Arabidopsis thaliana: one gene and its partner. The protein of the gene in region 1 purifies or fractionates together with the protein of each later gene. This does not show direct contact. Each region holds a gene or a part of one and is shown on either strand. Other genes may lie near its edges.

Evidence for each region.
Region 2: the proteins of HISN6B (region 1) and AT3G14390 fractionate together in Arabidopsis thaliana (co-fractionation; one large-scale study listed by BioGRID). This does not show direct contact.

Annotation. Positions count from the first base shown.
Region 1 is NC_003070.9:27,065,124-27,069,882, reverse strand, and holds HISN6B (HISTIDINE BIOSYNTHESIS 6B), read right to left. Parts: upstream 2,848-4,759; 5' UTR 2,815-2,847; exon of another isoform or gene 2,785-2,814; intron 2,761-2,784; exon of another isoform or gene 2,728-2,760; 5' UTR 2,716-2,727; coding exon 2,482-2,715; exon of another isoform or gene 2,378-2,481; coding exon 2,294-2,377; coding exon of another isoform or gene 2,290-2,293; exon of another isoform or gene 2,178-2,289; coding exon 2,023-2,177; intron 1,941-2,022; coding exon 1,843-1,940; intron 1,738-1,842; coding exon 1,629-1,737; intron 1,539-1,628; coding exon 1,381-1,538; intron 1,300-1,380; coding exon 884-1,299; 3' UTR 717-883; downstream 1-716. Other genes in the region: AT1G71910 (uncharacterized protein), read right to left, coding at 4,139-4,660.
Region 2 is NC_003074.8:4,804,856-4,810,047, reverse strand, and holds AT3G14390 (Pyridoxal-dependent decarboxylase family protein), read right to left. Parts: upstream 3,379-5,192; 5' UTR 3,278-3,378; coding exon 2,790-3,277; intron 2,654-2,789; coding exon 2,479-2,653; intron 2,383-2,478; coding exon 2,233-2,382; intron 2,086-2,232; coding exon 1,924-2,085; intron 1,843-1,923; coding exon 1,657-1,842; intron 1,560-1,656; coding exon 1,437-1,559; intron 1,363-1,436; coding exon 1,273-1,362; intron 1,175-1,272; coding exon 1,094-1,174; 3' UTR 615-1,093; downstream 1-614. UniProt on the Arabidopsis thaliana protein: Specifically catalyzes the decarboxylation of meso-diaminopimelate (meso-DAP) to L-lysine.

The DNA of each region.
Region 1 (4,759 bases):
GAACAGAGAGGCTGATGATGGCATGTCGGCCCACACCCCCAAAGTTGTCTCTTTGATCCTCTTGCTTCTCTCATACTTATTCATCTTTCTCTTACATTTATTTTTAGTTTTCTTTTTGTCTTTCTTTTAGGTTCCTTTACAGCTTAATTATTTATAATTAGAAACTTTTTAAAAATTAATTAGCTTTGTACTTATTTAAAGGAATATAGTTTGATACTTTGATGGCTCTTCTTGAACAAGGGCCAAAATTTTGTTTTATTTTACATTATAACTGGTTTAAGGCATTTAGCTATTATATTATATTTATGGAGTGGAGGTAAGAAGACAACATTTTTCTAAGTATTCTAGTTTGTTTTTTTTATTTATTAAAGCAGTAAGTGCTTAACCTGCACTATGCATGAGCAAAAGTCTAAAAATGATATAAAAATATTTTGTAATAGATTTGAGATGTTTTGTTTCTCACTTTGAATGAAAAAAAACAAACTTTTACTAAAAAAATTGTTGTCGGTTTATGTATAAGAAATTAAAGTTGAAAATTGAACCAAGATAAACCTACGTTATGGATTATAGGAACCAACCATTGTCTTCACTTCATCTTTCTCAACATACTGTATGTTTTTGATTTGAGTCCGACCCGAATTAGTCAAGTTTCAGTTTTAATGGGCTTCATCAACAAGTTTACATATGGACTTAGGCCCATTTTCAAACCAAAAAGTACAATACAACAAAAGCTTCTCCTTGTTAACTGAAACAAAAACAATGAATCCTTTTTTTTTTGGTCAAACACTGAATCCAACAAGTGAAAACAAACAAAAAAGGAGGAAAAAAAAATCAGTTTTTTTTTTGTGTCGCTGTTTTAAGAATTCCCAAACAAATGGGGAAGTCAATAAAATTGCTTAAGACACTCCATGAGAACATCAGTATGTTCAGGCTTTCCAGCAGAAACTCGAACATAACCTTTAAGCTCTTGACTGTTGTAATGACGAACCATCACACCCATTTTCGCCAAATCCTCTTTCAGCTTCTTTGCATCCATTCCAGATGTAACCTCACAGAGAATGAAATTCGAATAGCTCGGATATGGATTCAAGAAAGGAACTTCTTTTAATAGCCCGAACAGTCTCTCTCTTTCCCGTACCAAGGCGTCTCTCACATCTTCTAAGTATTTCCCGTTTGAGAGTGCTGCTAAAGCAGCTACTTCCCCTGCAACAGAGACATTGTATGGTTGCTTTGCTCTCCACAGGTATTCGATTATACTCAACGGAAACGCTCCATATCCAACTCGAAGCCCGGCTAAACCTGAAATATCATCAGAATTCTTAGATGCAGACTTTATATCTGTAATGTTTAGATTATATAGAGTGATAAACCAAAATTTACCAGCTCGTTTGCTAAATGTGCGGAGAACGATAAGGTTTTCATACTTCTTCACCCATTTCATGCGTGATTCAACTCCTGAGAATTCGATGTAAGCTTCATCTAGAACAACAAGTATTGGCATTTCTAGAATCTTCAACAGATCGTCCTCGCTGATGATACTGTATCAAAGAGAAACTCGGATTAATAATCATGACGGACTACTAAAAAGAATTTTTCCTTTCGAGTTGTTTAGAGTGGTGGTGTTTTACCTCCCATCTGGATTGTTGGGAGAAGTTAGGAATATGCATTTGGGTTTTTCTAGTTCTACAACTTCAGCGATGCGGTCTACATTCAAGCTGAAATCGGGGTTTCTTGGAACTGTGAAACAAACAAAGACCAACATGTTTAAGACTATACATTCAGAGAGAGAGAGAGAAGCAAAATCGAAGAGAATGAAACACATGAAAATCGTAAATCTTTCACCTTTAATGACACCTGCTCCATTCACAGCCGCATCAAACACATACATTGAGAAAGTTGGAGGACAATCTATAATCTTCTCCCCAGGATCTAACACGCATCTGCAAGAAACAGAGTTTTAGTCAGAAAATACGATTCTGGTAGAAGCTCAATTGACTGAAAAATCAAATCTTGAAGCCATACCTCATGATCAAATCAATAAGTTCGTCAGCACCACAGCCTACAAGTATGTATTCAGACTCCAAACCAGAGTCTTGAGCCAGTGCATCACGAAGTCTACGACTTTGTGGATCAGGATAAACGTAAGGGAATTTCATATTGCCTAATGCTTCAAAAACCTACACAGAGCTTCTGAAACCTGAAGTTAGAGAGGACAACTAACTAACTAACAAAATTATCCTTTTTCCAGTCATCAACATATCTATGAATGAGTGAAAGAAAGATATAGACTTGCCTCTGGAGGAGGACCATATGGGTTCTCATTAGCATCTAACTTGACAATATCCTCAGGCTTTCTTCCTAATTGAGCAGACAATACCTAATTACAAACAAACATACACATTTTAGAAGATAAATCCAATCCAACCCAATCCAATCATCTATAATTGTCAAAAAATAAATTCAATGCAATCTAAATATCACCTCAAAGGGTAAAATTGGCTGATAAGCAGCCAATTGTCTCAAATGTGGACGGATAAAAGAGTCTCCCATAGTTATATTCTTGGATTCGTCTACAGCTGCACTTGAAGACTGAGCACAATAAACCCTATTCCGGATTGAGCAAAAGGGTTTCTTCAAAGCTCGAGACTTTCGAAGATTTGACTCTGAAGAATGAATAGAGAACGATGGAGAGCCCTGAACATTGATCACACCCATCAGTTTTCGTGTCTGCGCATATCAAAGGTGGAATCAGTTCAATCTAGAGGAAACATCTGATGCACATACTCAATTTCACATCTTATTGACAAGTAATACCTGAAAGTTGTCAGGAAGAGGGGCAAATGGAGATAACCCTTAGTAGACGAGAAGGGTCGTGGGCAGAGAGACTAAAGTGACTGAGATCAGTCAAAAGCTTCGATTTTTCTATGACCCACTTGCGATTCGTGGACAAAGGTGAGGTTTTTTTTTTTTCCGAGTGACTGAGAATTGGCGTACCAATTTAGGGGTTATCCGAAATTGAATCCAAAACCCGGTTCTGACGAATCGGGTCTATAGTGAGAGTAGGTAAGAAAGTCTTCCAAGTAGTGTTAAATAAAAAAGTCTACTCTATCTTTTTCATATGAAGGTCACCTAATTTTTCTCCCAATGATTCCGGAGATACCTAAATCAGTTTTGATGCTTGAATATGATTCATGGCTATCTTTTCTGTCGACATTAATGGTGGTCTTCATATATATAAAAGGTATTACAATGTTTTTATGTAGTTCGATAATTGGACCAGACTTTTGACATTGAAATGTTTCTCATTTCACATGTTACTATAGAATCATAGTTTTAGTAAATTGATAATTTAAACATGTTTGTTTTAAACCAAGAAGTAGTTGGTCACGTTAGTATAAAGAGAAGAACAAACTACTGTACAATTTTTTTTCCCATGAGGATTAAAATTCATTCTAATTTTCGGTTCGAGGGATTATAGACTAAAGTTTAGAATCTTCGATTTATTAAAAAGGAAAAAGAAAAAACATGTTTTCTTCGAAATAACTTTTAGGGAGAAAACAAAACTCTACTATTGTGAACTTAAAGAGAAAACAAATTGGAGAAATATTTTAGGGAGGTCGGTTCGTGGCATGAACCAAGTGACTAGTGAGTAAGTGTACAAGACTACAAACATTTTGACATTTTTAGAAAACCTTTTTGATTCAGACTAAAGTTGTATTTCATAAAGACTCATTTTAAAATAAAGACCCCCAAAAGTTTTAGATGTTACAAATCTTTTTTATCACACATTTAAAAAGTGATATCATATACAAGTGGAATGTTTCAAATACAAATCTTTTTTACCTTCCTTTATTATTGCACCCTAATATTCTGACCTCTTTCATTTTTCATCTTATAAATTCATACATATTCAAACCAAACCCCACGGAACAGGCAAATGAATCAAGACGAAGAACCAAAAAAGACTTCAGATGTGTTATTAAAAATTTAGGACCCTAAAATTAATTTTTGTGAACCACCCAAACTAAACTACAAATAAATCATTTTCAGACAATTCCAATTTTCTCCACAAAAGCCCCGTAAGTTCTGAATTCCACAAAATAACCCCCCAATTCACAATTATCACGGTGGAGATCAATCACCGTGGATGAGTTTTCACCGGCGACCTCTGAGACGAACTTCGCAACACAATAAGCTTCTTCAAAACCCTCATCAACACCAAAACGTTCAGATTCGTCTTCTTCTTTGTCTTCTTCGATAACTTCATCCCACACCCCACGGCCACGGCAGAGCTCTCATCGGGAAACAAAGCCGTTTTCTTCTCTCCACCGTCGCCGCCATGTACAATTCTCAAACTCTGACTTCTTGGAGGCAATTCTTCGTTGAGATCTTCCCATAACATATCCATTTTCTCCTCTTCTTTGTCGTCGATCCAACGACTTCTCATCTCCACGTACGAGAAGCTCTTCCTCTGATCATGATCACCGTCTTTTCCAATGACTAATCTTGCCAAACCAAAGTCGTAATCTTTCCGGCGAAAGGAAGTAACCGGTGAGTGTTTCCACAAAGGAGGTGAATCAAGACCGGAATGGTGAGAAGAATCATGAGAAGCTAGCGATGGGAAGGTAAATTCTTCAGAGGAGACACTATTCAGAGCCATTTTTTCTGAGATCAAGAAACCAAAAAATAAAAATACTTAAAAAGAAAAAGAAGAAGAAGAAGAAGAGAAGACCAAAGAAGAGAGACAACACACAGTTTG
Region 2 (5,192 bases), on another chromosome or scaffold:
TAGCATTAATTCGTGAAGATGACATATACATACATTCATACACTAACGTCTCTTACTAAATTCAAAAGCCAAATTGCAGGGATTTAGGTTTTCATTGTTCAAGTATAATTAAAAAATTTGCTTCTTCTTTTTCTGATTAATTATTTTGCAAGTTTTATGATCATCCAATTGAAAATAAAATAATTAATTAACATTTGGATATTAATCTTATTTATGCTGAGAAATTTTTAACATATTCAGTTTGAAATCAAACTTTTCCAAATTAGACATGTTCATTTCACTGTTGAAGTTAATTTGTTGAATCAAACTTACAAATGGATGTTAGCGTAAACACTTTACCAAGTACAAACTAGTCACTTAGAAGAAGAAAAATGCAACCATCCACATATTAAATGGCCCGATGGGACAATTCAGGTAACATAGTTGTTAGACGTCGTACCATGTATAGCTGCTTTTAAAAATTGATACGTACGGTAACATAGAAACCACAGAAAGAAAATAAAACTTAAAGGACCACCTCTATTATATGGCGGAGAGAGGTGGCCGCGCCAATACGGCGTCGCATGGGACCATTTTGCTACTTCAAGTTTCCAGCCACCGTCTCATTTACACATTAAAAGGTTTATTTTGGAATCTTCCTTATAACCCATGATGAAATTAGACTTGTGGCGGTAAGTCACTACATGATAAACCAAATTCACTTTACTTGTCCTGTGAACTATGAACTATCTTCTTTTAGTTTCTTGATTAATGACATAGTAGTTGTAGTTATTGATTCATTTAGTTCTGCAAGCAAACTTGTGAACAAAAAGCTTGAAAGAATCTTCTTATAGCTATGGGAAGAAGCTTAGATGAGTGTTTATGTGTTTGGACAATGGACGACTTTGGCTTGAAAGACTCCTCTTATAATCAGAATCACCTCTTATTTTCTGTCTTGACTTGTGAACGTTTTCTTATTCATATGATCACTTCATTGACTTTGAATCAAAGCACATAATGTGAAAATCTAAAACAGCAATATCATTATGGTCCTGATTCCGAATAATCATACAATTCAATCAAAAAAGCAACAATGATGAGTAAATCTAAGAGTTCATAGACCTTCAAAGAAACGCAAATGGTCATCGAATGTCTCAGCATGCCTTATCTTAGTGATCGACCCATCTTCTTCAACCTGCAAAAACAAACAACACATTGAAGAAAATAAGTTCAAATTCATGACAATTTCTCTCGGGATCTTGATTCTCCTGGAACAAGAAAATGTGTTGGTACCCAGTATTCCGGAGGACGCATCTTGAGATTGTAAGTGGAAGCCATGCTCATACAGTATGCACCAGCGTCATGAACCACCAGACCAGCTCCCTGTAATGAATACAATAAACTCATAAGATTCCACATTACCTGAGCTTCCAAACAGAATCATATCCTTATCATACCTGTGGAGGAGTGGGAAGCTCTCTGTCTTTGCCCAGGAAATCAGCAGATTCACAGACAGGACCCACTACGTCGAATTTGGTAACCTCTGCTTCAGCCGGTGGAGGAGAGACCAACTCAATGTGCTTTTGAGTTAAAAACATGAACAAGAGAATGTTTAGCTATAGCTCAAAGGGGACCAAAATCTGCAGATGCTGTTGTGAGAAGTATATTTGTTTTTACCTGATAAGCATCATAAAGACTGGGACGGATAAGCTCAGCCATACTTCCATCAATGACTATGAAGTTCTTAGTTCCATTCGTCTTCACACCAGTTACATGGTTGACGAAACAGCAAGTGTTTGCAATCAGAGATCTCCCTGGCTCGATTATTAGATTCAGGTCTCGTGAAAGAACAAGCTCTCTTACCTGGAACACATCAAGGATTGTAACAATTCTACCATCCCACTACTTTTGAGATCAAATGAACGAAAGAGATGTTGTTCTTACAGTGTTGATGAGATCCATGGGTGTGGGAAGGACAGCGCCGGCATGGTAATAATCAATCCCTAAACCACCACCAATGTTCAAGTAACTAACTTCAAAACCTTGACGCCGGATCTCGTCAATGTATTCTATCATGAGAACTGCCGCATCTCTGAATATATCCACCTGGAATAAACAGAACATACGCAAATACGTAGAGCTCAAGAGTTGAGATCTAAGGACGGACCAAAAGCAAACACTAAACAGAGAGCAATCCATATTCATCTGATTACATCAAAATACAACTTTAAGCAACTATAATCAGAGTGTTACCTTAGTAATGGTAGAGCCTAGATGGCAATGAGCTCCAACAAGCTTCAGCTCTTTGGGATGTGCCTTGACCTGATCCAGAAACCATTGAAGCTTCTCGTTCCTGATACCAAACTTTGAGTTCTTGTTCCCAGTAGCAACATATGGATGCACCTGAAAAATGTATAAAACAGAAAAGCTCACTAACTAATATCCAAGACCAATTATGTTAGACATGATGCTAAAGTTTAAAGTAAATTTTAACCATACCTGAGGATCAACATCAGGATTGATACGCAGCAGTACATTGACCTGCTTACCAGAAATTCTTGAAGCTTCCACAATGTTATTCAAGTCAAACTCACTATCGACATTAACGAAAACACCTTCTTGAGCAGCTAGAACTAAATCTTCCAAAGACTTGCCATTTCCATTGAAAATGCACCTATTCATTTTACACCAAATCATACCATTCATATCAATACTGATTCCATCAACAAGTCAAACACTTTGTTATAGGGATGAAGTTAAAGCTCTCTAAATCAGATACAGGGCAATAATGGGTAAATAAAGAATGTTACTTTGTGGGATCGAAACCAGCACGAAGAGCAAGTCTAAGCTCATTTCCACTAACGAGCACAGCACCACAGCCTAAACTTCTCAAATGCTCCAAAATTTTAAGATTGTTATTAGCTTTGATAGCGTAACCAATCACAGAGCTCACTCCTTCCAATGCTTCTTTATAAGCCTCGAGGTTTCTAGTGATCTGAGGTTTGCTATATAAGTAAAAGGGTCTTCTCTCCACTGACTCCATGATATCCTCAACTTTAGTTCCTTCACAATAGAGAAACCCATCTGATGATTTCTTGAAACAGTGATCGAACTTCGTCACGGTTTTGGACGAGTTTTGAGAAACGACGGCGGCTTTCACGGAGAGGCGTTTAAGTGGCTTCAATGTGGATTTAAGAGACAAGACAGGGATGCTTCTGGAGCGTTGTGAGGTTTGGTTCTTCAGTTGGTGTGGATTGAGAGACGAAGGTTGGGAGAGAAATTGAGTAGCTGCCGCCATTCTCAGGGTTTTGTGGCTTTGATACCCGAAAATAAGGTGAAGAAGAAGAAAACTTCTCAAAAGCTGTTTTTGTGAATTTTGTGTATACAGTCGAGCTTGTTGGGTCTCTGAATTGGTCTGGCCCATTTTCAAGGCCTTCTATGAATTGGGCCGGACCATCATCAAAGCACTACCATTGGCGGAAAAAAAACACTGAAGTTTCTAGCTAACAAAAATAAAAACCACAACTAAGGTTCATTCAAAAAAAGAAAAAGAAAATTTAATGATCTGCTAGTGAGTATAGTTTTCTTTTCCTGAAAGTGTCATGTAAAGTAGAATATAAATTGCCGACGTTAAGAGAGTCTCTAGAACTTGTAAATTTTTTTGAAGAATGCTTAAACGTATTTATTTTAGCTTATACAAACATGCATATATAGAATCTGATGAAATTATAATGGGCTACTATTCCCATTTCCCACTGTAAAGAGTAAAGACCATTCTCTTATTAATATTCCACTTATCCACGAAAAATGAAATTCCTCTACTGGTTTCTACGACCATCTTATATCTGTATTTCTTTGTCTTACTTAATTACAAATTTCTGCGGCATAAAGTAGTGGAAAGAATATTAACTATGCGAATTAAATCGGAAAATGTGGTCAGCCCATTAGATTATATTCTTTGATCCCATCTTTTGGATTCTATTCTTGAATTAGGGTTTTGGTCAAAAATCCCAGCCATGCATATAGAAATGGAATATAGAAATTAAACAATATAATATACTTATTTTGTCGCATTTGTATATGTATGCCTATATATACCGACACATCTCGACTAGGCTTTACCACACAACACAAGAGTCACGAAAGAGGTAACACATTTGAAAATAAGTAGCTCGTGATCGAAAGAATATTGTAATGGGAGTCTTTGGTTGTATCAGAGGGTCTTGCATGAAGGAATAACGAATGGAATTGAGCCAAGGATGACTTGCCGGTTTAAACCCAACCGGTTTATGACCATTGATTTGGTCTCATTCACAATCTGTTGATTCGTGTCTGGCAAGTTGACCTTGGCTCTGCTTCGTTCTCTATTCTTCCATGTTAGATTCCAGATATACATTAGTCATGAATCGGACTTATCATGTCACATATATAACATATAAACCCTCCAAATGTTACTTTTAATTCGATGTTTAATTTGTCTCAAAATTAATCACCTCGTTAATTAGTCTTTCATGCTTCATAAGTTTTTTTTTTGTTTTTCTCAGTTAACTTCTTGTAAATCTGAGAAACTTTCTTGGCTATAGATATAAAACAAAACAGAAAAACTTTTTCGTTTTTTCTTTCACTTTGAACTTTTCGTTACAAATTAGAATCTAACATCACTTTATAAAAGTATTATTATATACTCTCTCTTTTCTTTTTTCTTATTCCCCTTATAATCCAGAAAATAGAACAATTGTATAAGGGAATATATATACACTTTTGGGTAACTATATCAAGCAAATGTAAGAAGTGAAATCACTTGGGCAAAAAGTGAGTTCGCTTATTAATATTATACCTTTGACCCTTCTAGTTATCCATTCTACACTTTGGAACGCTTACAGGTGAAAAAAGTGTACAATTTTATTTAAATGACCTTAATACATTAAGGAAATGACATTGGTTTTTTATTTTGCCATTCGAACCTCAGATTTGCGTGGTAATTTCAGCAAATAACTTGGTATATATTTTCTCCTGAAAGCACACTATTTAAGCACGCTGTCGTATGCAATACTCATGATACATAACCGTTATTTTGCCAAATGAGAGGTATTTTACGTACCACACTAGTTTCTATTATCATTTTATTCATTTATAACAATTTCGTCAAATAAAACGCTGTTTTACCAAGAGATACGTTATTAAATCAACAATTTCGTTGAGAGTGATAAAGT